Tamandua tetradactyla: one gene and its partner. The protein of the gene in region 2 purifies or fractionates together with the protein of the main gene of each other region. This does not show direct contact. Links are inferred from orthologs where the notes say so. Each region holds a gene or a part of one and is shown on either strand. Other genes may lie near its edges.

Region 1 (16,160 bases), on a different chromosome or scaffold from region 2:
CGTACAGTGACTAAAACCGTCTCCAATGACTCTTTCTTTAATTTTTTTGCCCCTCCTGAAGTTCCCGAGAGTGGAGGTCTGGATGCTGCTGCTGAAGCTATCCTTGCTGCAGACTTGGAAATTGGTCACTTTTTACATGAGCGTATAATCCCAAGATCAGTGTGCTGCTTTACTGGAGAAGCTATTGAAGATGATGATGATGATGATGATGATGAAGGTGAAGAAGCAGATGAGGGAGGGGAAGAAGAAGGAGATGAGGAAAATGATCCAGACTATGACCCCAAGAAGGAACAAACAAAATCCAGCAGAATGCAAGCAGCAGTGAAGCCGGGTGTATGTGGCCTTGCGGATAACCTGCCCTGTAATAGCCTAAACACGACTATTATTTACTTACAGCCTTATGTTTTGCATTTTCTTGGTAGACTTGGTAATTTTTTTTTAAGGAAAGGAACTCATATTTTTGAAGACCAGTTTGTTCTACCTAGCCTTTTAACTATAGTTTTTCTGTCAGATATGTTGAATGCACAGACTCTCTCAAACATGTTCATTAATTATTTACATAGTTTGGTTCTTGCAGAGGGTTTTTGTCCTGTAACCATTAAAGTACAGCTATGAAATTTTTTAAAAAAGGGGAAAGATTTAGGTAGCATATATGTGGCTAGAACAACATTTTTTTAAAAAAAAAACCACAGGACTGTACGGCGCAAACAGTGTATCCTGATGTAAACTATAGACTATAGTTAATAGTACAATTATAATAACATTCTCCCATCAACTCTAGGAAAGGTAGCACACTAATGCAACATGTTAAAAAATGAGGGTGGGAATATGGGAACTCTATATATTCTGCATGATCTTTCTGTAAAACCTACAACTTCTAATAAGAAAAGAAGGAAAGAAAAATAATACAGGCACTTTACGCTGCCATGATGCCTCAGCATCTGAGACCCTGTAGTTAGGGCCGTCAGTGACCACCACTGAGACCAGGGCTTTGCTGACCTCCCTAAAAATCTCTGCATACTCCCTGCAGGGTGCCGTGCATTCCTTCCCCTTGGTACTTCCCTGTCCAGGGCTCATACATTCCCATTTCTTCCACAGGGCCCCTAGTGCACAGTCCTGGTAGTGAGGAAAATGATCCAGATTATGACCCCAAGAAGGAACAAAATCCAGCAGAATGCAAGCAGCAGTGATGCCAGATGTATGTGGCCTTGCGGATTGTTTATATCCTTCCTCGCTGGACTCCTGCTGTGTAAAGCACCTCGTCCTCCCCTGCTCTGGGCCACCTCCCTGTTCCACAAGCATCTACCTTCTAGGATAGAGCCACATACTGCAGGCTTGAGAACCAGATTTCAACCCATAGATGTGTTTCATTTGGCCCACTCTATATTTGAGAAATAGAGTCTTGAATGTAAACGCCTCAACTTGAAGATGGGGCCAGGTTGTCTTTTGATTTGTGTTGTGTCCTTAACACTTCCGGCTCCGTCCTCCTTGGCCTGCTTTGCTCATTTCCCTTCAGAAGACATGGGCTTCCAACTGTTTAAGACTCACTGGAAAGAAAGCTGTAGAGGGTCTCGTCCTCCGAGGGCAGCATCTGACTGCACAGGCCACAGGCTTCCCTGTGACATCTTCTTACCCTTGCTCGCTGAAAGATGGTAGTTTAGAGAAAAATGACTGGTTTCCTGGTAGAGGGCCTTTCAAAAGACCAATCTACCTCCTGCCCAAAATAAAAATCGATTGCCCATATACTAGATTGGCCCATATGAAATTGCCAATATTCAACTGCTTCAGGCCTATAAAAATGGCAATTTCATGTGGTTCAATTGATTAACGTGATCCTGGCTTAATCCCTAGTAGAACAGAGGTTTGCAACTTTGGTTGCAAATTAGGATGATCTGGGAACTTTTTAAAACTTCCCTTGCCAGGACCCTACCCCAAATAATTAAACTAGAGTCTCCGAGGATGGGGTCAGGCATCGGGATATGCATAGGGATGTTTAAAAAACTCCCCTCCAGCCAGACTGAGAACAGCCGCTTTAGCCCATCCCTGAATCAGTCGTGAAAGAGGCTCAAAGAGACTTCTTTTACCAACTTGCTTTTGGATGATGGAGGCTTCCTGGCTTTCTGAGGAAGGTCCCAACTAAGAGAAGTTTGAGAAACCCAGAATTTCCATGTAGCTGCCAGTGCTGACCCACAAGTCTTAATTATTTCATGCATTAAATCAAAATAATAAAAACGAAAGATCTTCCATCCCACAAAGAAACTGTATTAAATTCCCACACATATGCTGTACCATCCTACGTATATTACGAAGTTACAGCCTTGTGGGAATGAGAGATCTGGAATTTGCAATATTGTCTCTGACAAGCCCATTGAAGAGCCTACTGTAATGAGAGAAAAGCACAATATACTGGAAAATATTCACAAACGTGGCCCTGGACATTCATTCAAGAGAATATACCACAACAAAATAGAGATTTTGGAACGGGCAATTACTGCTGCCACACATGGCGGTTAAGAGAGACACAGTTTGGATGAAAGTCAGTAGTACCCCAAACAGGAACTGTTTAAAAAGTTGAAAAAGTGATCAGACATCAAGTAGAGATATGAATGAAGCTGATCTGGATAGGACCAAGGTATATTAGAAGAGTGGATAAAGGATGATATCCTCCATACCTTAAAACTTCAACTTCTGTGGGAGAGTAAAGGGAGAGATGTTTATTTGGTGCAAAACTTATATTTTGGGTTGTGCATTTCCTAATTTAACTTGTATGGTCAATTTAGTTGAACACCATAAGTACATGGAATCTTGAATAGGGCATGTGATTCTGTTGGTTTGTCCAGGTTAGTGTGATGCCCCGATAAATTCCAGAGTGACTACATGGGACATGACTCCCAGGGGTGTGGACCTTCCTGGCAACGTGAGACAGAGATCCTAGAATGAGCTGGGACTCAGCATCAAGGGATTGAGAAAATCTTCTCAACCAAAAGGAAGAAGAGCAAAATGAGACAAAATAAAGTGTCAATGGCTGAGAGATTCCAGACAGAGTAAGAGGTTATCCTGGAGGTTAGTCTTACGCATTAAATAGATATCACCTGTTTAATTAAGGTATAATGGAGAGGCTGGAGGGAGCTGCCTGAAAATGTAGAGCTGTGTTCCAGTAGTCATGTTTCTTGAAGATGATTGTATAATGACATAGCTTTCACAGTGTGACTGTGTGATTGTGAAACCTTTGTGTCTGATGCTCCTTTTATCTACCTTATCGACAGGCGAATAAAACATATGGATTAAAAATAAATATATAATAGGGGGAACAAATGCTAAAATAAATTCAGTAGATTGAAATGCTAGTGATCAATGAAAGGGAAGGGTAAAGGGTATGGTATGTATGAATTTTTTGCTGTTTTCTTTTTATTTCTTTTTCTGAATCGATGCAAATGTTCTAAGAAATGATCATGATGATGAATATACAACTATGTGATGATATTGTGAGTTGTTGATTATATAACAAGAATGGAATGATCATATGGTAAGAATGTTTGTGTTTGTATGTGGTTATGTTTCATATATAAAATAAAATAATTAAAAAACAAAGAAACAAAATCCCAGAGTGATTTGAAATTCTCTCTCTCTTTTTTTTTTTGGCATGTGCAGTCTCCGGGAATGAACCTGGGTCTCCCACATTGCAAGTGAGAATTCTACCACTGAGCTACCTTGACATCAACCACTCCCAGAGTGATATGGACAGTGAATAAAGAAATATTTGCAAAGTCCCCTTGGGGGAATAGGGAGAAAGGGGGAAATTTCAACTTCCCCATTTAGAGAAGTTTTTACATTCTTGCAAGCAGTGGAGACAACTAAATCAACAGGCTGAGCCCTCAATCTTGGGGTTTGCCCCTATGAAACTTACCCCTGCAAAGGACAGGCTAAGCCTACTTGAAATTAGGCCTAAGAGTCACCCCCAGCGAACCTCTTTTGTTGCCCAGATGTGGCCTCTCTCTCTAAGCTGACATGGCAGGTGAACTCACTCCTCTTCCCCCACCACGTGGGACATGACTCCCAGAGGTGTAAGTCTCCCTGGCAACATGGGACAGAAATCCCAGGGTGAGCTGGGAGCCAGCATCAAGGCATTGAGAAAACCTTCTTGACCAAAAGGGGGAAGAGAGAAATGAGTCAAAATTAAATTTCAGTGGCTAAGAGATTTCAAACAGAGTCGAGAGATTATCCTGGAGGTTATTCTTATGCATTATATAGATATCCCCATTTTAGTTTGTGGTATATTGGAGTGCCTTGAGAGAAGTACCTGAAACTGTTGAGCTGTGTTCCAGTAGCTTTGTTTCTTGAAGATGATTGTATAATGATACAGCTTTTAAAATGTGACTGTGTGATTGTGAAAACCTTGCATCTGAAGCTCCTTTTACCTAGGGTATGGACAGATAAATAAAAAATATGGATAAAAAAAAAACAAATAATAGGGGAACAAAGGTTAAAATAAATTGAGAAGCTTGAAATAACTAGTGGTCAAGGAGAGGGAGGTATGAGTTTTCTCTTTTTTGTTTCTTTTGCTGGAAAGTTGCAAATGTTCAAAAAAAATGATCATGGTAATGAATACACAACTATGTGATGATATTGTGAGCCATTGATTGTAAACCATGTATGGAATGTATGTTTGTCAAGAATGTTTGTATGTTCAGTTTTTACAATAAAAATATTAAAATTAAAAAAAGCGAGAGAGACACAGCTTGGAGAACCATAACTCCTTTGCATTCTTACTAACTCTAGGATTAGTGTTAGTTTAAAAGATCAACCTATCCCTTTAATGTATTTGCTTTTGCTTTAATGAGCAGATTTGAAAAAGAAACTAAATAGATGCATATTTTTAAAAATAGAAAAAATAAGGCCCTATTACTTTCTGAAGCAATGAAAATATTCTAAAATTAGACTATGGTGATGGTTGCTCAACTTCATAAATAAACTAAAATTGTACACTTTTAACAAGTGGTTTTTATGGTTTGTAACGTATATCTCAATAAAGCTGCTTTTTCTCTCTCTCTTTCTCTCTGACAGCTATATACACATACATAGTAGAATGAGAAAAAAATAAGTGAAGGATGTCCACCACTTTCAGAATATACATCCTAAATTTCTTGGTAGAGAAGCTGGTTCTGTGTTTGCGTGTTTACGAGGTTTATTATGCTGTCACTGGGACTTGAAAGGTTCACTAAGTTGGCACCGACAGAGGTGCCAGGTAAAGGGTTAAGTGGGCAGTCCCATTTCTGTAAGGGCTGGGCGTAGCTCTGCAGAGGGTGTGACAAAACAAGAGAAAGGAGTTTGATCAGGTAGGAAAGAAATACAGAAGCAGCTGTCCACAGTGCCGGATGCAGAGAATAAACCTGCCTGGGTTGGAGTACCGGGGACTGGGACACAACTATGGCAGAGGACATGCTCCTGGAAACGGTGTCATGTGCTCCTTCACTTACTAACCAGCCTGGCCACCCTCTCCCAGGCTCCTAGCACCCTGGAACAGCCTAAGCTTTCTTAAAACTCTGCTCAACTTTCTTGATGTAGAATTAGCTTAATTAGTTTCAGTGGGATCCATCGTTGTAGGTGTATTAATGGGGTTAAAAGAAGCTGTCGATATGTTTATGTCTGTGTGCAGGTGCCGTGAGACAGCATTCCCCTTATTCTTTGGGATTGCCAGACTGTTATTTGAGTCCAGGGGCTTGAAAATTTGGCAGGAACCTGGAAATTCTGAAATCGTTTAAAGAAAACACCTTCAATGACAAAGTGGCTAAGAAAGAAACCTGCAGCGCTCCTAGTCTCCCACCCCAGTGGACCTGTTCTCCTAAAACTTTTCTTTCAAGTGTTGCATGTCTAACATGTATGATATATAGAGTTAGCACTACAGAAGATGTATATGTGAATAAAATATACTCCTTGGCCTCAGGGGCTTACCATCAGTGGAAGGGGAGTCAGGGCCTTTTCCCCAAGGCCTTCGATATAAATGATATCACAGGAAAGATACAAATAGAGTGCTGGGTCTCAGAAGTGGAAGAAAGAATGCACAGTTGGAAATGGAAGGAGAGGTTTCCTGAGCAAGTGGCTTTTGAGAGATACATAATCTTTTTCAGGTGGAGGTTGGAGTTAGGGGTGAGGTGTGAATCCAGGAGAAAGAATGGGGTTGGGGTGGGGAAAAGGGATGTATGCAAAGAACAAATGGAAAGGTGGAGTGGGACTGTAAATGCTAAGTGGAAGAGTTTCTACTCAATTCCGGAGGCCCTGGAAGGTTCGGCACTGGGGGGTAAGAACCATGATTCCTCTCCGAGGAACCCATTTTGGCTGGAGGGGACTAGCCAAAATACTGCCCTGGTTTCAATTCAATGCACTTCAAAGCAGGAGTATGGAGAAGGTACTCTGAGAGAGGCATTCCACCGAAGGAACTAAAGAAGAAATTAAAGTCACAGTCTGTATCCTTAAAAGTCTTGCAGCTTGGGCGGGCCGCGGTGGCTCAGCGGGCAAAGTGCTTGCCTGCTATGCCGGAGGACCTCGGTTCGATTCCCGGCCCCAGCCCATGTAACAAAAACGGAGAAACAGAATACAATAAAACAAGAAAATGTTTAAAAATGTTTCCCTTTCTTCCTTCCTTCCTTCCTTCTATCCTTCCTTCCTTCTCTCTGTCTTTAAAAAAAAAAAAAAAAAAAAAAAAGTCTTGCAGCTTGGGGACTGGGGAGACAGGGAAAAAGGAGAGATCAGGCAAAGACTCCTAGAATCACAACACATCACACAGTGAGGCAGTGTCATGAAATCTTGACAAAGTACTCAGCCTCTCCTAATGATGCCTCTGCCTGACCTTCCTTTCCATTTCCCAAAACTGGACTGTAAGCCTCTCAAGGAAGGAGACCAGGCCGTCTTCATCTTTGTATGGCCCCAGTGTAGCTCAGTGCCTGACACTTGATGGACATTCATGAAATGAATGAATGAACAATTCTCCCATCATGCATCATCTGCTGCATGTCTGTCTCTGAATTCACATCGCACTACCTGACTTTGGCTCATATTCCATTTTTTTCTCCCACCCATACTTTGTTCACCTCAAGCTCTCTACTTGACAACACTAGCTCACACCATCTTCCTAGACTCTGATTCTTTCAGGGATCACGGAATCTGTGCTGCATAATTTAAGTGTACCATGTTCCTTGCAACTGTTTCCTGTGTGCTAGTCATGCAAATCCTTTCAAGGTAAAGTCCTTGTCTTACATGATGGCATTTTTCAGAATACCTAGAATATATTGACCATTGATTGGTTGGAAAATAAGACTCCTCACAGGAAGAGGGGAGAGAAACTAAGGTCATGGAGCATCAGACACTGTGCTGTGCTGTGCTGTGAATATATTCACTAAGAGCCTGGTGAAGAGAAAACCGGGGAACAAACAATATTGCTGTCCAAACCTTTGCACAGAGATCTTAAACTCATGACTCTTCTTCTCTAAGAACAGAAGATGAGGAAGGTGTCTGTCCTGCCGCATGTAATATGGACCTATTAAATACTGAACTTTTTTTTGCCTAGAGAGCCCATGAACTGTCCTCTCTGAAAGTTCTTAAAGACAGAGGAGCCCATCTGTCCAGGAAGCTGAAGCCACAAGATAGTTTTCTGACCAGTGACAGCTGGAAAGTCTACCCTTGCTGTTCCTGTCAGCCTTATACGCAAGAAAGTAAAGTCTTTTTGGAAGAGTGTCTTAGAGGAGACTTTGATTTGCCCTTTTGTTTCACGATCTCCTGATGATAGTGAGCAAGGTTCAGGAAGATTAGCTGACTGCAAGCAGATCAATGCTCATGTGTAGCTAAATAAAGTAGACACTTATTACCATGCAGCTCATTTTTCCATGGTTTACGTATTCTGTGGTAGAAAATGACCCTCAACTACATCCAGTAGAAGAATGATACAAAGCTCACCCCTTTCTAGCAGTGATTAATGCTTCCTATAGAGGAACTACCCCCTAACTTGATGGGCTGGGGCCAGAGTCAAATCCAATTATTTTTCTAGAATCTTCTGATTCAATAAATACATAAGTAAGCAACATCTAACATTGCACAACAATTTGCCATGTACTTTCTGTGCATATGTCCTAATTTAATCTGCATGAAAACCCAGTGAAGTAGGTACTACAATTAACTCTCATTTTTCACATAAGGAAACAAATGCTCAGAAAAGTCAAGTGGCACATCCAGTATCATACAGCCAGGAAGGAAGAGTTCTTTTCACTCTATCCTGATGCTTAAATTAACTACACAGTCTGAAAAAATGACAGCGTGATCTTTCCCCTCCCCCCATTATACATCTTATCCCATGGAGCAACGAGCATTCTAATACTCCTGATCAGGCACATCTACAAATTTAGCAGATGGTAAATGAATGAATGAATGCTTTCTACAGTGGATGCACTATATGGAGTCAATTGGGACAAAAAATTAAGGGGAAGGAGAATCTTTCAAGCTATTTATTAAGACCTACTGGGTGCTGAGCATTGGAGACCAGACACCAGTGTCCTAGACTAGTGCAATAGATAGAAGCTGAAAACGGATAATATAGTAAACTAATCACTATTTCGTTAAATACTCCTAAAAGCATGTATCAGGGAGCTCCGCTCTGGTCTGAGGAAAAAGAAATCTGTATTCAGTGGATGACAGGTGGCCTCTTTCAGGCAAGAGGGATACATTTATACAGGCAGAACCTCCAGGCAGAAATCCGAGCAAATAAATGAAAGGGGCAAAAGGAGAGAAATTGCCTCTCATAAATAGCACTTGGCCTGGGCAATCCCAAATGTCCAGTCCCGCTGCCTGGCTACCTACCTGCTTAAGAAAAGCAGGAAGGGAAAAAGCAAAGGCAAGAGAGAGGTGAAAGGCCGATTGATGTAAGCAGGGCGGGGCGGGAAAAAGAAGGTAAGCGTGAGCTGAGAGAGTTAAGCGGCGCCAAGCCGGGATGGAAAGGGTTAAGGATGGGAGGCGGTGGGGGGGGGGCCGAACTGCACAGAAATGGCAGACTCCGCCCACCGGAGGACGGGGGCAGGGCCGCGCCGGTTGAGCCCTAGGATTGGTCGCCGGGAAGGCGTTACGCTAGGACGGTACCAACGGTGGCGGGCTGAGGAGGTGGGGGTGGGACGGTCGGCTCAGCGCCCGGAGAGGTGGCCTAGGAATGGCCCGGCCGGAGGTGGGCGGGAGCCGCAGTGGCGGTGGCGGCTGGGGGCTGTGAGCGCGGCGTACGGCTGCCCCTTCCCGGAGGCGGCGGGGGCGGCCGGGGCCGTGCCGCAGGGCACGGCACGGCGCGGGAGGCCATGGGGCGAGCCTAGAGCCCGCAGGTGAGCGGCGTGGGGACGCGGGCTGACGCGGGCTGACACGCGACCCCCGCCCGCGGCCGCGGGACGGGATGGTGAGGGCGGGCACGCGGGCGGGGTGCGGTGCGTGGCGTGCACCGGGCGGGGGCCGCTTGAGGACGGAGCGCCTCCCAGAGGGGCCGAGTTTCCGTACCCCCAGCGGTCCCTGAGCGCTGGCGAGCAGGTCCGGGAGGGATCCCGTTGCTGCCTCAGAGACCGGCCCCATCGGCTTCGGGGTGGCCTCCCGCGGACGGTCGCAGGTCGCTGCTGAAGGGACGCGGCCTTGGCCGCCGTCTCCTGGGCCCGGGACGTTGGTGAAGCTGCCTTACTTGGGGACACCTCGGGTCGCCCAGGTCCTGCTAGTGACTAGCTCTCGCCCCTGGGCGGGGTCCCTAGAGCCGCCTGGCCTGGGTGCCACCCTCGAGGTCCGCCGAGCGCCCGTTGCGGCGGCCCGGGGAGGAGCGCGCGCCCGCCTGGTCCCTACCCGGACCCCCTCGTGGCCGAGAAGCGCGAGTGACCTGCAGGCCCGAGGCGGGATCGACAGTGCCTAAGGGTCCGCGGTGTCCTCATGGTGCGTCCCCCCTCAGTCGGTCACAACTTAAGGAAATGATATGGTACTCCAAAGTGGGTTGCGCTTGAGATTTCATTTCCGGGTGCGATGGCCCTGCGATTAAAAACGGACCAAAATGTTACATTAGTGATGAATGTGAACAGTTGTCAAGCTGTGTCCTCGATTGTGGGGTCTGATAAAAGAGTCATTCTAATCAGGCTTCGGTTACCTGCAAGTCTCCTGGTAGGGACGCAAGGGGTTGAAGGATGTTGGAGGGAGAGTGGGGGGAACAAGATTGGTCCTTATGGAATTATTACTTAGTTTTTTTTTTTTAAAGGCTGTATCACCATTTGGATGGATGAGTTTATAATTTGGGAAAATGAGAGATGCTTAATACTACGACTTCAATGAGTCTAGGTAGGGCCAGGTGTCAGTATCATTTCCACCCAGCCAACTTCTTCCTGGAGGTTTGGTTTCTCACCTTCAAAAGATGGGGTTGGACTGTGGGGTCTTTTAGCTTTTAAATCTAAGACTTTACACATCTCTGATTGGTAAAGTTAAGATTGTGGTTTATTAGCCATGACTCTCCTCCTTGACTCACACATAAATTTAATGGGGTTGTATTATTTTCATGGGGTTAAGAGACCCCAGTGTGCTGCATATTATGAACGTTCCTGGAGTTTAAGCGGAGCCTTTGAGCTAAGGGACTGAGAGCGCTTCCATATATATTGTTATCAGGACATGCCTTTGAGGCATTGAGGTATAGGTGTTAAAGGTGCTGCTAAAAAAGTATTTGCCTAGACTCTGCTGTTCCAAGGCAGATTTACAATTAAATTCGTGTTTTACAGTAATAACTTTGCTGAAGTTCATGAAGATGTTGGACTTTGGCCCCTAAAACCATACAATGGAACCAGTCAACAGGAGGCCTTTCCACATTTTAAAGTGCTATCAAAGAAAAATAAATAGGCACAAGCACATAATTCAGACTCTCACTCTCACTGCTAAATAAAGTGCTGACGTATAAATGGATGGAGGTAAACAGTGATAAGGAAATCTTGGAGTTTGAATCTTTCCTTCTCCATGACTGGTGAAAATGTAACATCGATTCTTGTGTTTGTTTCTCTGGATTAATACAAATAGCAGTTTTTTGGTTAAAGAAGACAAACACATGCACTGCTTTTCTTTCTGGGTACTTTGGATTAAGGAACAAACAGAAATTTCAGTTTCTGTCTTTATTTTTTCATAATCCTTTATATAATGGAATTATGTTATTACATGATTTTTAGTCCATTCTCTTGATTTCCATTTGTAGAGACTCCCAACACAGCCTTGACATTTCTTCATTTTAGCTTTTCTGAGTTTTGAATTCCTGAATGAAATTCTCTTAGTTTACTTTCAGTACAGCCTTCAGCTTCCTACACTTTGGGTGACTATTATTTCATTGATATAAACCCTGAAGCCATATACTTCAGCTCTTTAATTGATAACTTTTTAGAATAGCGAACCACAGTGGTTGTCTCTTGGTAATTGCTGCAGTCTCATAATAGAAGCAGGAGGCTGGCTGCACTATGTATTCTGTGGTAACAGTAACAATAAAAAGGAACCCATTTTCTGAAGCTTGATGGCAGGTCATTCTTGGGATTAAGTGCCAGGTGGTTTTGTGATTAGAGTAGGGAGTACGGTAATTAGTACATTTTTATTTCGTACCTAGCAGTGCCTGTGCGTAGTAGGTATGTAGGAAACATCTGTTAGTTGAAAGAATAAATGGAAAACAGTATGAGGGAAGGACATATATTCTAGTTTATATTCTAAATTGTTTAGCTCTGCTTTTTGCCAAAACAAAACCAAGAAAATGTGGTTTGAATTCCTGATGAAAATATTCTACTGAGATGGGTATATATAAAGGCTGGTACTTGCTGGAGCTGCCTTGAGAATTAATTCTATGCATGTAGAGTATTCTAGCCACAGTCAGGTCTAGGAACAGCCCTTGGTGCTCAGGTAAGGTGCAGCTTCACACCCTTGCTCCTTTAGCCTGCCTTTGCTAGGCTAACTTAGCAGTCAGTATTTTTGCATTAATAGAAGAATCTTTGGCTCATCAGTAGAGTTGACCCTGACTGCTCATCTACTCCTTCACGTTGAGGGTAGGAGAGGAGAGTTATCCTTCCTGAAGGTGCTTATCCAGCAGCTCCTCCTATATGTATATATCTTTTCCTCTTTTCTTTCCTTGAGCTTCTTCAAGGATGCTACATGAATTCATTAGCAGGGACCTAGGATGTAGAGAAGACGACCTTACTTTGCAACTGAAACCCAGCTTCTGACCACTTACAATGTCAACATGGCTGCTGGAACCACCTAGAAGAAAGTTGTGCAGGTTTAAATCTGTTGTGGATCCCAGAAAAGCCAAGTTCTTTAATCCTCATTCAGTATTGCTGGGTGGGAGCTTTTTGATGGTTTTCATGGAGATGTGACCCACCAAGTTGTGGGTGATAACTTTTGGTTAGATGGTTTCTGTGGTTGTGTCTCCACCCATTCAAGGTAGGGTTCGTTATTAGAGCCCTTTAAGAGGGAACCATTTTGGAAAAAGCTTTAGAGCCACAAGAGCCAACAGAATGGACAAAGCCTACACAGCCAGAGACCTTTGGAGATAATAAGGAATATGCCCCCGGGGAGCGTCATGAAATAGGAAGTCTGGAGAGAACGCTAGCATATGTTGCCGTGTTCACCATGTGCCTTACCAGTTGAGAGAGAAACCCTGAATGACATTGGCCTTCTTGAGCCAAGGTATTTTTTCCTGGATGCCTTAGATTAGACATATCTATAGCCTTACTTTAATTTGGGCGCTTACACAGCCTTAGAATATGTGAGCTTGCAACTTAATAAATTCCCTTTTTAAAAGCCATTCAGTTTCTGGTATATCGCATTCCGACAGCTTGCAAACTAGAGAAGAAGTGTAATACAAACATCTCACTTCTTACTTTGTCTTTCTTAACAAAAACAAAAGAAGTGCCTCACTTCGGACCTGGAATCTCGGGATGCATTGGTCTTCTAGTATGAGATGAGAAATGGAGGCTGATACAGAAAAGAGCATTGAGTTTTGGTGCATATTTGGGGTCTGTACTTTCCAGCAAGGTAACAGCCCTAGGGAGACATGTATTAATTTGGAGATCAAGGAATGTGACATTGTGAATATGTAAAGAGGACAGAAACAGATACAGGTGAGGCAGTAATGTCTGTCATTCCATGCTCTTAAATGTTGACTTTCTGATTTATGCATATAGCAGTGTTTCATTTCTCTAATGTTAGGAAATAAGAGATTATGTGCCAAAATTCTTATTTTAACTACACTTTTGTAGAAAAAAATTTTATTGTATTACATACTTAGTTTTCTTTTAAAACAATATAGTTTAATCTTTCTTTTAGACTCAGGTTAGGATTACTAGCATCCATTACTGTTAGTAATCAAGCAATACTTTGAGGTGATTGAAATATGAATGCAGTTTGACCCCTCTGCTTTTTGTCTTCTTGCATCTGCTTTTTATAGTAAGTCTTTCTCTTTTTTCAGCAGTGGGAATGCTGCACTTTTGTTGTTGTTAGTATCTTGATGCTCCCTTTTTTTTTTTTTTTTTTTTTGCATAGGCAGGCACCAGGAATCGAACCTGGGTCTCCAGCATGGCAGGAGAGAATTCTGCCTGCTGAGCCCCCGTGGCCCGCCCTGCTGCCCTCTTAAATCTGCAGCTTCTGATCTTCTGTGGAGTAGGGACCAATTCTGCTTCCTGAAATTGAATATAAAGCAGCTATACAGCTAAATAGAGGGTCTGTTGGCTTTTCTCTGAGTATCAGCATAAGAACTTTATAACTACTATTTTGACTGCCTACAGGCCTTTTTTGTTCTTTTCTTGTTTCCCATCCTTAGTTTAGATTGCGAATTTGTACTCTGTCTAGATGCATTTATATTCCTTCTGTAGAAAAAAAGAAAATAGTATGGAAGTACCAGTGTTGGTTCTTATTTCAGAAAGCATTGCCAATAAATAATCCTTGAAGATCTGGTTCCAACCCTGTCTTATATCATTCTTGGGTAGTGTATTGGATCATATCCATTCCTCTCTGCTCCCTGTCCCAGACAACTACAGGAACCAGGTTGACAATAGCAGTGGCCTTAAAAAATGGAAGAAGGGTATGCAGAAGGCAGCAATTTTAAATTGTATAATGTTGGTATGCATGTAAGATCTTTCTCTATTTTTTGCTGTATTGTATATCCCAATTAGTTATAGAGCTTAGTTTCCCGTGTCAGTAACAGGGGCCTTCTTTAAACCAAAGAATTAACATTTCAGAAGAAATTCTTACAACATAGAGGTCTCTCTATTACTTCACTCCTTTTGTTCAACAAGCATTTATTGAGTACCTCTCATGTGTTCTGCACTCTGCCAGGTTACTTGGAAATACAAAGAATAAAACATCCCCCCCTGCCCCCCCACCCCCATCCTCAAACAGCTTACAGTATGATAAAAAAGACAGGCATGCTGTATATTCATTTTTATATTACAACAAAGGGATCATGTCTGGTGCATAATTTTAGCACAGACCTGCTTGGGGTACTGCTATTTAGAAAGTGATCTCCTGTGGCCTATGTAGCTTGAAACTCCCTAGAGCACAAGGTTAAAAATGTAAGGTGGTATTGCATAAAGCTTATATACCTTTCCAAGAGCTGTAGTGAATTGAATAGTAAAAATAGAAGGTATGCAAAAATCTGAAGGAAAATGTTATATTCTTCGAATTCCATTTTTCTATACTGTACAAAAATTACGTTCTATAATATAACCTTAAGTGATGGTTATATACTTACAATTGAGTAGGAAATGCTTAGAACTTAGGGTTCTCCATTATACCTGGCCCATTTAAAGCAGAAGGCAAATTCTTAGGCATTTCCACAGTTTCCAGATCAGTGAACACTGCCTGTGTTGGTTTTTTTAGAACAATCCTTGTGAGCAGTATGAGTTTTAAATTTTTTATTTTCATTTTTAAAGGAGAAGGGTTACCACATCCCCATTCAAATCTCCTATTTGGCTAAAAAAATAAAAAATAAAAAATAAAAATAAATAAAAAAATGAAGAAAAGGAGAAGGGTTAGAATTGCCCTAGATCAAGGTTTACATAGGACAGGGTACAATAATTAATATTTTTTTCCAGAACTTAAACACTGTTTATTGCCTCTTCCATTTTTAATCTCACACCACAAAAAACGGCTCTCTTAAAGCTTCATTAGTGCCTAGTAATCATTTTAGTTGGTGTCCTTCACAAGAGACTGTTAGAGGATTTCATGTAAGGGACGCTGTGTTTACAGGTATGAATAAATGTTTAAGTGAAAGAGAAAACAATGAAGAAACTCTAATATTAGGAGCAATTTGAACTATATGGGAATTAGATTTTTTAAGCCAGTAACTTTAAGTTTAATATAAGGCTTTTAAGAGCTTTTAAGACATGCAAAACTGCTATGTTTGAAAAACAGAGTTAATTTTCCAAATTGAAGAATATTGTGAAGGACATTATATTTCAGACTTTTTCCTGATGTGGAATAAATTCATGCTTTTCATCTGTTCCATTTACATTGAATGTGGGATAAGTGAACTTTGTAGAGAGAAGAAGCAGGCTTGTCAGGTTAGTGGCATGGCCTCGTGGTCTTCTGCTTGCTTCACATGGTACCCACTGTGAAATACAGTCTCGTCTACTGCTCAGATTTAGGAATAAGTATGGTTCAGGGATGCAGGACTGCTAATGACTGTTAAACTCTTAATGCATGTGTTCTGTCCTGATTATGTAACTGAGAAGAGAGAAAAAGGATATTGGCTCCAGCAAGAGTCATTTTCTTTGTCATTTTTTTTTCTCTCAGGAGGTTATCTTTGGGTTTTTGATGTAATATAGCTAACATTTAAGTGGCTCATTCAGTTACTCAACGTGGTATGTGTAGTAATGTCATTCATTCTTAATAATACCTTTATACGTTATGTAACAGTGTTCTTGTTTCCATTTTTCACACGAAGAAACTGAGGCCAGAGAGGTTAAATCACTTCCCATGCTCCATAGTAAGTGGTAAAGGCATTCTGAATCCACAGCACACACTCCTAACTCTATAGAGGAACTTATATTTAGAATAAGGTAAATTAAGAAGCTCTTTCTAAAGTAGACATTTATCAGGGAAGGAAAAATATACTTAGATTCTGATTAGATATACTTATTTTATTTTTA
Region 2 (15,500 bases):
CAAAGAAAACACCTGCCTGGCACCCAAAGACCACCATGGAAACCTACACAAAGAAAACACCTAGTATTCAAAGGTTACTGTAGAAACCTGCTGCCTACAAGACTTCCTATAAAGGGAGTTAAACCCAACCCACTCAGTGTAGGTCCCTCCCTTGGACATGTCTGTATTAACTCTTTAATGTGTACTCTCCCTCCTTCTCTTTAATAAACTTTATTACTTATCCCTATTGGCCCTCTTGTCTCTAAATTCTTTTAGTTTCAAGACTAACAAACTTGGATTGTGACTCAACTGGCACCATTGCCAGCCAGTTACAATTGTACCAGTTACAATGCCAAAGCTAAATGTCAATATGCAGGGGTTATGGCAGAGGGGTATGGGATTCATTATAGAAGAAATGGAAATGTCCTCATAAGGACTGCAGTGGTGAAGACATGGCTATGTGATTATACCAGGAGCCATTTATTTTTACTTACATTGGATTGTATGATGTATGGATAAAACTGTTTTAAAATGAATAGTGAGATACAAGTGCCAGAGAAAATGTGGAGAGAGATTTGTACCTAGTCACTGTTGGCAGGATGTAGAATGGTGTAGCTCTGCTGGAGGGCAGTGTGGTAGCTCCATAGGAGGCTACGGGTTTGGTTGCCTTATGATTCTGCAACCCTGTATTTAAATGTATACTAGGAGTAACTGAGGGCAGGGACAGGAATGGACATTTGCACAGAGGTGTTTATGGCAGTAGTGTTCCCATTTTACAATGGATGGAGGTGGCCTAAGGGCGCATCGACTGTGGAACAGAAGAGGAAAACTGTGGTGTATACCTACCATGGACTATTGAGCACCTTCAAGAAGGAATGAAGTTGTGAGGCATGCCAGGCCAATGAACCTTGAGGACAGTATATTGAATGAGGTAAGCCAGAAACAAAAGACAAATATTATAATGCCTCAGTAACATGGACTAACTGCAACGTGCAAACTCTAAAAGAATTGAATTCGAGAACATACATTATCAGGTGAAGGCTTATTGTGAAGTCTCCTAGATTGTAAGAATCATAGATTGTACAGCATCACATCTGTTCCAGAGTTGTAACTGTTATTTCTAAATTCTGAGATGTTGTGTACTTTGTGTATAATCTGGTTGTTTCCTACAACTTCAGGTATTTGTGGGACACCTGAGACTCACTGCTAGAACTCTGCAACCAGAAAAGTCAGCATTGCCCCATACAGCAACTGTTAAAAACAATGAAAAAGTGATCAGACTTCAACTAGAGATATGAATGAAGCTGATCTGGGTATGATTAAGGTAAATCAGACTACAGGGTAAAGGATGATATTGACTGTATTTTTTTTTTAAAGAAACATAATCGCATACAAATACATTCTTACCATATGACCATTCCATTCTTTATATAGAGTCAATAACTCACAATATCATCACATAGTTGTATATTCATTATCATGATCATTTCTTACGAACATTTGCATCAATTCAGAAAAAGAAAAAAAATAGAAAAAAATTCATACATACTATACCCCTTACCCCTCCCTTTCATTGATCACTAGCATTTCAATCTACTAATTTATTTTAATATTTGTTCCCCCATTATTTATTTATTTTTTAAATACCAAGAAACCCCAAACAAACACAAACATTCTTAACTTTTGATCATTCCATTCTACATATATAATCAGTAATTCACAATATCATCACATAGTTGCATATTCATCATCATGATCATTTCTTGGAACATTCACATCTATTCAGAAAAAGAAAAACAAAACAGAAAAAAATTCATACATACCATATCCCCCACCACTTCCCCTCACCAATCACCAGCATTTCACTCTAAATTTATTTTAACATTTGTTCCTCCTATTATTCATCTTTATTCCATATGTTTTACTCATCTACTGATAAGGTAAATAAAAGGAGCATCAGACACAAGGTTTTCACAATCACACAGTCACATTATGAAAGCTATATCATTATACAATCAATCATCTTCAAGAAGCATGGCTACTGAAACACAGCTCCACATTTTCAGGCATTTTCCTCCAGCCTCTCCACTACATCTTGACTAACAAGGTTATATCTATTTAATGCGTAAGAATAACCTCCAGGATAACCTCTCGACTCTGTTTGGAATCTCTCAGCCATTGACACTTTATTTTGTCTCCTTTCATCCTTCCCCCTTTTGGTCCAGAAGGTTTTCTCAATCCCCTGATGCTGAGTCTCAGCTCATTCTAGGGGTTTTCTCAATCCCCTTGATGCTGAGTCTTAGCTCATTCCAGGATTTCTGTCCCACGTTGCCAGGAAGGACCACACCTCTGGGAGTCAAGTCCCACACAGACAGTGGGAGGGTAATGAGTTTGTTTGTTGTGTTGACTGGAGAGAGAGGCCACATCTGAGCAAAAAAGAGGTTCTCCTGGGAGTGACTCTTAGGCCTAATTTTAAGTAGGCTTGATCTATCCTTTGTGGGGTTAAGTTTCACATGAACAAACCCCAAGATTGGGGGTTCAGCCTATAGCTTTGGTTGTTTGCACTGCTTGTGAGAATATCAAGAATTCAACTTGGGGAAGTTGAATTTTTCCCCTTTCTCACCATTCCCCGAAGGGGACTTTGCAAATACTTTTTTATTCACTGTTCAAATCACTCTGGGATTTATCGGGGCATCACTCTGAACAAACCAAGAAAATCTCATGTCCCACTCAAGGTTCCATGTACTTATGGTGTTCAATTAAGCTGTCTAGGTAAGTTATATTAGGAAATGCACTAGTCAAAATATAAATTTTGCACCAAATAAACATTTTTTGCTTTAGTCTCACACATAAGGTAAAATTTTAAAATATTAATTACCATCTATTTTCGGCACCCTGCAGTAATGACATTCCTTTGTTCTTCCTCATGCAAAAACATTTTTAAAATTTGTACATTTAGTAATTATCATTATACACTCTAGGCATTCCTAGATTATACCATCTCAATCTTTATCGTCTTTCTTTCTGATTTCATTTGTGCCCCCAGCCCTCCTCCCTCTATCATTCTCACATTCAGCTTCATTCAGTGTTTTAACATAATTGTATTACAGTTAGGTAGTATTATGCTGTCCATTTCTGAGTTTTTACATTCAGTCCTGTTGCACAATCTGTATCCCTTCAGCTCTAATTACCCAATCTTGCACTATTTCTACCTCCTGATGGTCTCTGTTACCAATGAAATTCTCCAAGTTTATTCACTAATGTCAGTTCATATCAGTGAGACCATACAGTATTTGGATATTGATTGAATTTTAAAACTTCAACATCTGTGTGAGACCAAAAGAAGAGTGGTTTATTTGGTGCAAAAATTCATATTTTCAATATCACGCTATCCAGTTTAACTTGTATGGTCAGCTTCTTTGAACATCATAATTACATGGAACCATGAATAGGGAGTGAGAACTTGTTGATTTGTACAGGTTGGTTTGACACTTTGATATATCCCAGAGTAATCTTGGCAGAAGATTAAAAAGTATTTACATAGTCCCCTTGAGGGACTGAGGGAAAAGGTAGAAATATTAAATTTCCTCACTTGGAGAAGACCTGATACTCTTGCAAGCATTGACGACTGCCAATTTGATGAGCCAGGGCTTAGATCTTGGGGCTTGCTCTTTTGAAATTTATTCATGCAAAGGAGAAGCTAAGCCTACTTACAATTATGCCTAAGAGTCAACTCCAGAGACCCTTTTTTTTTTTGGCTCATATGTGGCCTCTCTCTCTCTTAGCCAACTCTGTAGGAGAACTCACTGCCCTTCTCGCTACGTTGGACATGACTCCCAGAGCTGTAAATCTCCCTGGCAGCTTGTGACATGACCTTGGGGATGAGCCAGGACCTGGCATTGAGGGATTGAGAAAGACTTCTTGACCAACAGCATGAAGAGAAATGAAATAAAATAAAGTTTCAATGGCTGAGAGATTTCAAAGAGTGTTGAGAGGTCATTCTGGCATCATTCTTATGCAGAATACAGATAAACCTTTTCAGTTTTTGGTATATTGGAGTAACTAGAGGGAAATACCTGAAACTGTTGAACTGTGTCTTAATTTGTTAAGCCTGCTAGAATGCAATATACCAGAATTTATTGTTACAAGTTTACAGTTCTAGGGCCATATAATGTCCAAACTAAGGCATACAGATAAACATACCTTGACTCAAGAAAGGGCCAATCATGTTCAGGTTTCTTTGTCAGCTGGGAATGCACTTGGTGATGCTTGCTAGCTTTCTCTCCAGGCTTCTGATTTCAAATGCCTTTCCCTGGGGACGTTTTCTTTCTTCATCTCCAAATTTCTCTGTATGTGTCAGCTTTGAAGCTTTTTCCAAAATGGTTCCCTCTAAAAGACTCTAGTAAGCAACCCTACCTTAAATGAGTGGAGAAACATCTCCATGGAAACCACCTAATCAAAAGGTCCTACCCACAACTGAGTGGGCCGCATCACCATGGAAACAACTTAATAAAAAAGATCCCACCCTACAATATTAAATCAGGATTAAAAAGTATGGCTTTTCTGGGGTACACATTGGTCTCAAACCAGCACAAACTGTAATCTAATAGCCTTGATTCTGAAGATTATTAAATAACTATACAGCTTTTAAGATGTGACCATGTGACTTTGAAAACCTTGTGACTAACACTCCCTTTATCCAGTGTATGGAAAGGTAAGAAAAAAAAGTTAAATAATAGGGGAGAAGGAAGTTTATTGGAGGTTTGGGTGTTCTTTTTTACTTTTATTTTTGATCTTATTTTAATTTTTTTGGAATAATGAAAATGTTCAAAAATCAATTGTGATGATGAATGCATAACTATATGATAATCTTGTTAGCTGCTGACTGTACAGTTTGGATGATTAAATGGTAAGTAAATATATATCCAATAAAATTGCACTAAAAAAACTAACTGGATTCTTGAATCCACTGTGAACACACTGTGCTTCGTTGGGCTTTTGAAAACAAAAATCTGACAATATCACACACACACACACACACACACACATAACATACGTACACACTTCTCCCTTCCTTATACAGAGGTTTTAAAGGTATCCTTTTAAAAAGGATACTTTTAAAAGTACCTTCCCTTTTTGTTTTCGGATAAAGACTAAAATCTTATAATAGCTGTATTAGTCAGGGTTCTCTAGAAAAACAGAACCATCAGGAGATATGCAACTCTGGGAATAGAAGAGTCCAAAATCCATAGGGCAGGCTGTGAAGCTGGCAGCTCCAATGAAAGGTCTGGATGATCTACATAGAAGAGGCTCACTGGCTGAAGAAGTAGTGAAAAAGTCTTTCTTCTCCCTTAAAAGCCTTCAACGGATTGGATTATGTCATTCATGGGAGGCACGTCTTAGTTGACTGCAGATGTAATCAGCAACAGATGCAGTCAGCTGACTGATGATTTAATACACCAGCCTTCCAGTTTATCAACAAGCCATGAAATATCTTTGCAGCAATGGTCAAGTCAGTGCTTGCCTGACCAGACAACTGAGCATCATCACTTGGCCAAGGTGACACCAGAACCTAATTCTCACAGCACTGCATGATTTAACCCTTATCTGTAACTACTGTAATGCTGACTTTCATAACTTCAGTGCTCTGAGTCTCACTTGTCACATATATACCCGAAGTTCCAGAGAACAACCAAGTTATACACAAATAGCTCAGTATCTCAGAATTTAGAAATTACAACTCCTGAATAGAGCTTACAATCTAGGACTCTTTACAATAGGCCCCCACCTGATAACCTATGCTCTTGACTTCAATTCTCCAAGTTTGTGTATTACAGTTGGTCCATATGAGTGAGGTATGATACTATTTGTCTTTTTGTTTCTGACATTTCATTCAAAAGAGTGTCCTTAAGTTTCATTCACCTAGTTGCACACCTCACAACTCCATTCCATCTGTACGGCCTTTCATGACCTAGTCCAGGAGTCATGCACAGACTTTTGTGTTATATTCTGTTCATTTCTAGGAACTCAAGTCTGGTCCCCACTCAAGGGGAGGAGAATTCCACTCCATCTTTTTTTGTTTTTAACATATTTTATTATGAAATATAACATACATGTATACAAACACACATATATATATATAGCAATAAATTTTAAAGTACATTGAATCAAGTAGTTACAGAACAGATTTCAGAGTTTGGTATGGGTTACTGTTCCACAATTTCACACTTTCCCCTTTAGCTGCTCCAAACACTGGAGACTAAACTAAATATCAATATAGCAGTCATACTCAATTCGCTAAATCCTATCTTCTCTGTTATAACTCCTTCTTTGCCTTTGATCCTTCTCCCAATCTTTAGGGGTATTAGGCTCTCCTCAATGTGTTTCATGTTGGAAAAGGGTGTTGATAAGGGATGGGGGAGAGACGTAGTTGATGTTGTTGAAGAGGCTGGCACCTCTGGGTTTCAGGACTTATGTGGCTTAGGAACACATCTGGAGGCTGTAGGTTTCTGGAAAGTAATCTTAGTACCTCAAACTTTTGTAGAACCTCAGATGGAGCCCTAGGTGTTCTTTAGGATTAACAGGAATGATTTTGATTGGGTTTGCCAAACCACGGTAATTAGTAATATCTAGCTAAAGCTTGCTCCACTCCACCTTTTGAAGGGTGCAGTATCAAAGAACTAACTGAACTATTTTAACACTACCACAGAAGGAGTCACTGGGTGAAAAGGGGCAGGAAGAGGAGGGAGATTTTCATTATACATTCCTAAACTCTTTGAACTGTGTAAATATATTAATTAGTCAAATAATTAATTGATGCCATAACTATAAAAGCACCCAGTATTTTAAGCCATTTGGGAAAGAACTGGAGCAAAGATGAATGAAAAAGAGAGCTCAAGAGAATGTGAATGGGAGAAATTGGCTGAGATGATACTGACCTTTGCAAAAGGGTGTGTATACTTTGTGCACATCCTGCTCCCCAGGAGGAAGAGATTTAGCATTCTCACCTGGCAGGGTAAAGGGTGATAATGAGTTCTGGATAATGGGTTTGTGGTGGGGGAAGCACCATGCAGCCAGCAATTCCTATAGGCCTGTTTATCATTCAGGGGGGACCATTATCGTGTAAGTCCTTTTACAACAACAGTTTCATTTAAACCATTTTCTAGCCACAGCCTACGGGCATTGTTTATCTTAAATAAAACTGGATGGTATATAATGTCGTTTCTGGATACTGTTTTACTTACAAGTGTCACCTTTTTACCCCTCAAACACCCTCCCCGCCCACGCTTCCAAGTTTGACATCTATTCTTTAACATAATTGGCGCAAACTGTCAAGCATGCCAAGAGGATTTAACCAAGTAATTAAACTGAAAGATTCAATGTGTAGAAAGACGTGGCATGAAACCCAACGGGTTTATTGTCTCTATAAAAGGATCGTTAAGGTCGAGTGTATTAACGCGGTACTAAATGTACTCATTGCGCCCTGGTCACTACACAGCACACGTCGGTAAGCAAGGAAAAGTTTAACAAAGAAAACTATTCAATTTGTCCTAACCTCTCTTTTCATACAGTGATGCGCCTAAAAACACTAAAAGTCCACCTTAAAACCATTTGTGCACAGTAGCTTCTTTTGGAGGATCAGTAAATCTGGGCGGAGAGCGCGGCCTCTCCTTAACCCTTAGACCGCGCGCTTAGTCCTTCCTTGGTCTTGGGCGGGGGTGGGGGTGGGGGTGGGGGTGGGGGTGGGGGCGGGGGTGGGGGACGGGCGGTTCCGGGACTGAAGCTCTAGCCCTGCCACCCCGGCGGGGGATCCAACTCGGAAGACTGTGTTCTCCGGAGTTCTAGAAACACAACTCGAGTCTGGCTGAGCAGTGTCCACCCTCGCTTGCCCCGATTGTGGGGACGCCTTGCCCGTCTTCCGGCCCCAGCCAGGAATGGTGAGGGGCTAAGGAGGAGGCGGGCGGAGGGAGGACGCGTTACCGGTAGGGCGCGGCAGGCCCGGGGGCAAAGGAACGCCACGGAAAAGGAGAGCGCGCGCCGACAGCCCGAGGCCGAGCAGCCGGGAGAGGGCAGGTCCCAGTCTTCTCCCGTCGTGGGGTCCCGCCCGCCGCTTCCGGCGCTCTCAGGCCCGCCCCGCGCCGCCGACACTGCCACATACTCCGGTGACGTCAGCCGATGCCGCCATATTGGGCAGGCGCCGCCGCCGCCGCCGCCTCCTCCGCCTCGGAACTCAGGCTGCCTCGGGGGCTGGGGCCGCAGGAAGGAAGGAGCCCTTCTCCCCACCTACCAACGACACTCGTCCCGTCCGCTCCCGCCGCAGCGCGTCTCCCCATGACTGCTCCCGGCTCCGCTGCCGACGGACGTCGCCCCAGTGCTCGTTTATAACGCGGAAGGCCGGTCGGGGGCTGAGGGAGGAGGAGCAGGAGGAGGAGGGAACCCCGGTCGGTCCCTCGTCCTTCTCGGCTCGGCGCTGTGGCCGGAGCCATGACCTCGCTGACCCAGCGCAGCTCGGGCCTGGTGCAGCGGCGCACCGAGGCCTCCCGCAACGCCGCCGACAAGGAGCGGGCGGCGGGCGGCGGCGGCGGCAGCGGCGAAGACGACGCGCAGAGCCGCCGCGATGAGCAGGACGACGACGACAAGGGCGACTCCAAGGAAACGCGTCTGACCCTGATGGAGGAGGTGCTCCTGCTGGGCCTCAAGGACCGAGAGGTGCGGGCACGGCGGGGCGGGCAGAGGGCGGCCGGTGGCCCGCGGGGTCCGGGCACCAGGTGGGAGGCTCAGCTCGAGCTCCGTGCTTCTGCCGGGTGAGCTGCCAGCTCGGCTCCAGCCAGCATCAGACTTGCACCTGGAGTGTTGGAGTTAGTAACTGCTCCCCCCCCAATCCCCCAGCCTGGCTCGGCGCTTTCCCGGCCTCCTCGTGCAGATGCCTTGGATTTTCCCTTCCGCCTTTCACAGTCACTTCTGCGATTTCAACAGCAGTTTGTATTTCTGTCTCGCTTTTTTCCCGCGTGTTCAACCCGTGCAGACCCCAAGATGTTAGAATGAAATACCTGGTACCACCAGCGTCCGGACCTCGTGGGTTTTGCAGGTTTGACGGCCCGGGAGGGGTCCGTGGATTTGCTCTCTGGGGTATTATTATTTTTTTAATCAAGGAGTAGTGTTTGGAATTATGAAAATTTTGGTGATATCGTAATTGGGAAAGTATTTTTTTTTACGTGGGCAGGCACCGGGAATCGAACCCGGGTCCTTTGGCATGGCAGGCGAGCATTCTTGCCTGCTGAGCCACCGTGGCCCGCCCGAAAGTTATTTTTTTGAGTAAAGTTAAAATCAAGCAAAATTCTCATGGATCCTGAAAAATAACTTTCTATTTGAACTTGCATTAGTTGTGAGATTACTTTTAGTGGAGCTTTTATCAATTGACTGGTCTCAAGGAAGGCTTACCGTTTTAAGGAAGGGCCTTTTCGGGGAGTGTTTGAAATGGTAGGTTTGTAATTTGATGAAAGGCCTCAATTCCTTAGGTAGGTTAAATTGCGAAAGATAGTTCTTCTTACCTTACAATAAAATGATTATCATCACCCCAGTTATTGCACCCCTCTGCGCTGCAAGAAAAAAAAAAAGCTACAGTTTACACTTATTCACCTCTTAGATTCAACAGTTAATATTTTACTGTATTTGCTTTATCCGATCTTTGTTCTTCCAGCTACAAAATGATTTTTAAAGACAAATACACCCGTTTTCAGACGTTGAATGAATATTCCATAAATTAGTAATGGTGAGGTGGTCCCAGGAGCTTGTGGAAAGTTGAGAATGTGGAGCACGTTTTGAGAGTCAAACTCAGAAGTATCTGTTTTGTTCTCTTTTATTTTTAAGAAAGTTTTCCGAGTTCACCGTAGGTGGGCACAGAATTTCAGCATTGTAAGAAGCTTCCTATTTCATTGAAACTTCTTAGATATTGATGTTGTGGTATATATTTGGAAATCTCATGAATTGAAATAGTTTTCCTTGATGAAAATGTCCAGAACATTCGTAGTATCTTGGTATCCCATTCGCCCAGGTGTTTCATCACTTTGAAAAAAGTTGGTATATTTCAGTCCTTCTGACTGTGAAAGGGATCCAGTACCTGTTTAATTACTGAGTCTTGATGATAGAAGGGAGACAGTATATGAAATTCCTCTTTTGTTCTGTGAATGAAAGCGCAAACGAGAACTACAGTGATCTTCTGATGTGATATTAGAAAGTATTTAACTTACCTTTTTAGGTGTCACAATTTGGAATCTTGGTGATCAACATTTTTCTATGTCTTTATTTTTTTCCTTTGGGACAAAACTTCACTGTAGAAGTTTTTGAAAATACAAAACAAAAGAACACAAGTCGCCCATATTCCTGAGCAGTATTTTTGGTTTATAATTTTTGACACTTTTCTGTGTGGATCCATCTTGTGTGTGTGTAAAACTAAAACTTAAAGCAAAAACTAGCTTTTGAGATCTGAGTCACGTAAGTAGAAATTATGATAAGAAAATACCTTTTTTTTTTAAAAAAAAAGATGAGTTGTGTTTGTGTCAGGAGTCACTATATGTTGCACGTCCTGGCTAAGTTCCAGAGTCTAGATAATTCTGAACATTTCTTGCTGATTTACAACCACAGTATGGAATTATTTTTTTTCTTCTTATACAGGCAAGCCCAGGGAGTGGGGACTTTGTTGAGATTTTGTATTGCTTTAGATTTTAGTTTCAGGAATTTGCCTTTTATTTTTTCCTTTCGTCACATCTTTACATACTCATATCAAGTCCTATCAACCCATCATCTATTCATGTGTTTTTCTCCTCGGGAAGATTTCCCCCCATGTTTTTAACTTGTAACTGGGAGTTGTTCTCTTACCTAGTGTGTAGGCTTTTATGCTTGTTAGTATTAAATACTAATTTACTAAATTTTATACTAAAAAGTTCCAAACTTTAGCCATAATATATAACTTAGTAAACTCACTGCTTTAACTTTATTTTAACTTAGCATCCACCCATGTAGTATCTGGGCACTTTTAAGATACTTAAAAGTTAAACCTTAAGGATAGGCAGGTCATTAATGTTGGACAAGTTTTGTATATGTGGGAGTTGACCTTATCTGAAATGAAGACAAGTAAACGTTTTAAGAGGAGTTATGTAATGGCAAAATTAATTTTACTTTGACGTTTTAAAAAGCTGACACTTATCAATTTATTTTTTTTTTGCTTTTAAAAATATATATATTTGAAGAATAATAAACTTACTAAAAAGTGTGCATTATCCTAAGTGTGATGAATTTTCACAAGCTGTGCACACCCATTTAACCAGCACCTAGAGTAAAAGACACCATGGCCAGCTCTCCAGAGGCCTTACTTGAATTACTTTCTAGTCACTACCTGTTCTTCAAGTGGAACCCTTGGCCTGACTTAGAATCACCGTAGATTAATTTTGCCCGTTTTTGTATACTTTCTTTTGTGTTTGGCATTTGCTCAAATTGTGAGATCTTCCATATCATTTTTTTTTATGTTGTGAGGTGGTTATTTACTTATTCTCACTGTCTATCAATTTACTTTTAACACATTTATAATCTATAATATTTTAAAAATTACTTTGATTTTATCTTGAATCAAGTTAAAAACTTTTTTCTCCTCTTTTACTGAACAGAAGGCTCAGTTTGCCAATAAGTAGATCACCAGCTTTCAGATTACCTATTGGGGTAATTGTGATTGATTTTTAAAAATTTAAGTAGCATATCAGATTTTTACCAATCATTTCCTTTCTGGCTTGTATAAAACACAGAAACTTGAGCCTTTCGTTATTCTGATCTCAGTTGGAGTGAAAAATTGATGACATAGGGTATCAGTAGATGATAATGAAAAGGATAGTAGGTTTAAACTTGAATTCACCTTCTGAATAATTGGAATGATTTCTGTAATCTCTCCTGTGTTTGAAGAGAAGGGACAGCAGAAATGCCAGGTATTTTCCTTTCCCCAACTATTCGTTTTTAACAAAGATGTTTCCACTAGTCAGAGCATTTTTAGATTGCTTCATTGAGAATTACCTTAAATAACTGACATTTACTTTTGAAAATTTTCATTGGTGTCAAGTCCTGGTCCTTTAAGGTTGGGTTTGATTATTTTAAATGACCAGGTAGAATTTAGAATATGTCTGGTGGAATAGCAAAAATGCTAAGAGACTTTGTCTGAGGTGTAGCCTTTGTTTTACAGATTATTTAAGCTTTCTGAGTCTCAAGAGTTCTCATGTGAAAATGGAGAAATAGTCTTCCCACATGGTTGTTCTGTCTGTGTGTTGGAGAAATTTGTTGTTTTGCTCTCCACCATCACTCCGCTTGTTTTGTCTTGGTTTTAGGGAGTTCAGCCTCAGGGTGCCCTGTTGCAGCATCTCCTTCCCTCTTGAAGTGCAGTCAGGCTTAGACTTTTCCACTCAGGTGATTTGAAAGAGTCACAGACTGTGGTGATTTTGAAGACCTATTCAGAGTGGTGTAGTATGTGGACCAGACTGTTTTTGACATGGCTCTTTGTGCTTCTTTCTCTCTAGACTGCTGGCTTGGTCTTTCTCCATCCTCATTTTCCAGATGCCTTTCAATTTTGTAAACCTCAAGAGTCTTCCAATAAAGTTCCTTTTTTTAAAAGATGGCTAGAGTCAATTTCTATGGTTTTTTTATTAAAAATTTTTTTTTTGCATGGGCAGGCACCTAGAATGAACCTGGGTCTCTGGCATGATAGGTGAGAACTCTGCCTGCTGAGCCATCGTGGCCTGCCCTCTAATGGTTTTAATGCTTGCAGTCAAGATCCTGTATTTTGAAAAATGAGTAGATGCTCCAAGCCAGCTAATACACACTTAGGGTAAGCAGTTATTTTTAACTAAAATGATGGAGTTGATTTTGTGTGACTTTTAAACTGGTTCCAAAGATCATTCCCAAAGGTGTATTTCATTTTTGGAATAAGGATCCCAAGGTTACTACTAAGAAATGCAATACTTATCAGGATCTTTAACTTAAAAAAAATTTCTTTACTTTCTGCATTTGCATTGATATACACTCTCTCTGCATATCAAATCTATAAATGAGGAATTCATTCAACATTTATTCAGCGTTTCAAGATGTGCTAAGATTTAAAGTGTAATAAAGACTTCTGAGTTTTGAAAGAATGTCATGAGTTATTTTGTAATACAAATATTGCCTTTATATATATATATATATATTTGCTTATTTATTTATTTATATATATTTTAAACATGGGCAGACACCGGGAATCGAACCCAGGTCTCCGGCATGGCAGATGAGAACTCTGCCACTGAGCCACCATTGCCTGCGCTCCCTTCATATACTTTTTTTTTTGTGGGCAGGGCCATGCTCCTCTGAAGGCTCTAGGGAAGAATCCTCCCTTGCCTCTTTTTAATTTTTTATTAATTAAAAAAGATTACAAGAAACACAAACATTCCCAGCACATACACTCAGCAATTCACAATATCATCACATAGTTGCATATTCATCATCATAATCGTTTCTCAGAACATTAGCTTCAATTCAGAAAAAGAAATAAAAAGACAACAGAAAAATATAACAAACAGAAAAAAAAAATTTTACATGCCATACCCCTTATTGATCCCTTTCATTGATCACTAGCATTTCAAACTAAATTCATTTTAACATTTGTTCCCCCTATTATTTATTTTTATTCCATATGTTCCTCTCATCTGTTGGCAAGGTAGATAAAAGGAGCATGAGACACAGGGTTTTCACAATCACACAGTCACATTGTGAAAGCTATATCATTATACAATCATCATCAAGAAACATGGCTACTGGAACACAGCTCTACATTTTCAGTCGGTTCCCTCCAGCTTGTCCATTACATCTTGGATAACAAGGTGATATCTACTTAATGCATAAGAATAACCTCCAGGATAACCTCTCGACTCTGTTTGGAATCTCGCATTCATTGACACTTTGTCTCATTTCCCTCTTCCCCCTTTTGGTCAAGAAGGTTTTCTCAATCCCTTGATGCTGGGTCTCAGCTCATTCTAGAGTTTTTCTGAATCCCTTGATGCTGAATCTCAGCTCATTCTGGGATTTCTGTCCCACGCTGACAGGAAGATCCACACACCCTGGTAGTCATGTCCCACGTAGAGAGGGAGAGGGTGGTGAGTCTGCTTGCTGTGTTGGCTGGAGAGAGAGGCCACATCTGAGCAACAAAAGAGGTTCTCTTGGGGCTGACTCTTAGGCTTGATTTTAAGTAGGCTTGACCTGTCCCCTGTGGGGTTAAGTTTCATATGAACAAACCCCAAGACTGGGGGCTCAGCCTATAGCCATGGTTGTCCACACTGCTTGTGAGAATATCAAGAATTCAACTTGGGGAAGTTGAGTTTTCCTCCATTCTCACCATTCTCTGAAGGGGACTTTGCAAATACTTTTCCACTCACTGATCAAATCACTCTGGGATTCATCAGGGCATCACCTGGACAAACCAACAAAATCTCATGTCCTATACAAAGTTCCATGTACTTAAGGTGTTCAATCAACTATCTACGTAAGTTGTATTAGGAGATGCACTAGTGAAAGTACAGATTTGTACCAAATAAACATTTTTTGCTTTAGCCTCACACATTAGTTGAAATTTTAAAATATTAAGTACCATCTGTTTTCAGCACACTGCAGTAATGACATTCTTTTGTTCTTCCTCATGCAAAAACATTTTTTAAATTTGTACATTTAGTCACTATCATTATACACTCTAGGCATTCCTAGATTACACCATCTCAATCTTTTTTTTTTTTTTTTAACATGGCCAGGCACTGGAAATCGAACCCGGGATCTCTGGCATGGCAGGCAAGTATTCTTGCCTGCTGAGCCACCGTGGCCCGCCATCTCAATCTTTATCATCTATCTTTCTTTGTGATTTCATTTATGCCCCAGCCCTCCTCTATCATTCTCATATGCAGCTTCATTCAGTGTTTTAACATAATTACATTACAGTTAGGTAATATTGTGCTGTCCATTTCTGAGTTTTTATATTCAGTCCTGTTGCACAATCCGTATACCTTCAGCTCCAATTACCCAATATCTCACCCTATTTCTATCTCCTGATGGTCTCTGTTACCAAGGAAATATTCCAAGTTTATTCACTAATGTCAGTTCATATCAGTGAGACCATACAGTATTTGTCCTTTTGTTTCTGGCTAATCACACTCAGCATAATGTCCTTAAGGTCCATTCATGTTGTTACATACTTCATAACTTTATTCCGTCTTACGGCTGCGTAATATTCCATCTTATGTAAATGTCACAGTTTGTTTAGCCAACTGTCTGTTGATGGATATTTAGGCTGTTTATATCTCGGTAATTGTTAATAATGTTGCTATAAACATTGGTGTGTAAATGTCCATTTGTGTCCTTGGCCTTGTGTCCTTTGAGTAGAGGCAGCATATAGATGGGTCCTGCTTTTTAACCCATTCTGCCAGACTATGTCTTTTGATTGGAGAGTTTAATCCATTAACATT

Evidence for each region.
Region 1: the proteins of GOLPH3 (region 2) and FAM20B purify together in Homo sapiens (affinity purification with mass spectrometry; 3 studies listed by BioGRID and IntAct, with this or other methods). This does not show direct contact. The link is inferred for Tamandua tetradactyla from reciprocal best matches to the Homo sapiens genes GOLPH3 and FAM20B.

What each region holds. Positions count from the first base shown.
Region 1 is NC_135330.1:33,276,708-33,292,867, forward strand, and holds the start of FAM20B (glycosaminoglycan xylosylkinase), read left to right. Parts: upstream 1-9,180; 5' UTR 9,181-9,353; intron 9,354-9,813; exon of another isoform or gene 9,814-9,939; intron 9,940-16,160. UniProt on the Homo sapiens protein: Responsible for the 2-O-phosphorylation of xylose in the glycosaminoglycan-protein linkage region of proteoglycans thereby regulating the amount of mature GAG chains.
Region 2 is NC_135335.1:81,768,724-81,784,223, reverse strand, and holds the start of GOLPH3 (Golgi phosphoprotein 3), read left to right. Parts: upstream 1-8,131; 5' UTR 8,132-8,463; coding exon 8,464-8,688; intron 8,689-15,500. UniProt on the Homo sapiens protein: Phosphatidylinositol-4-phosphate-binding protein that links Golgi membranes to the cytoskeleton and may participate in the tensile force required for vesicle budding from the Golgi.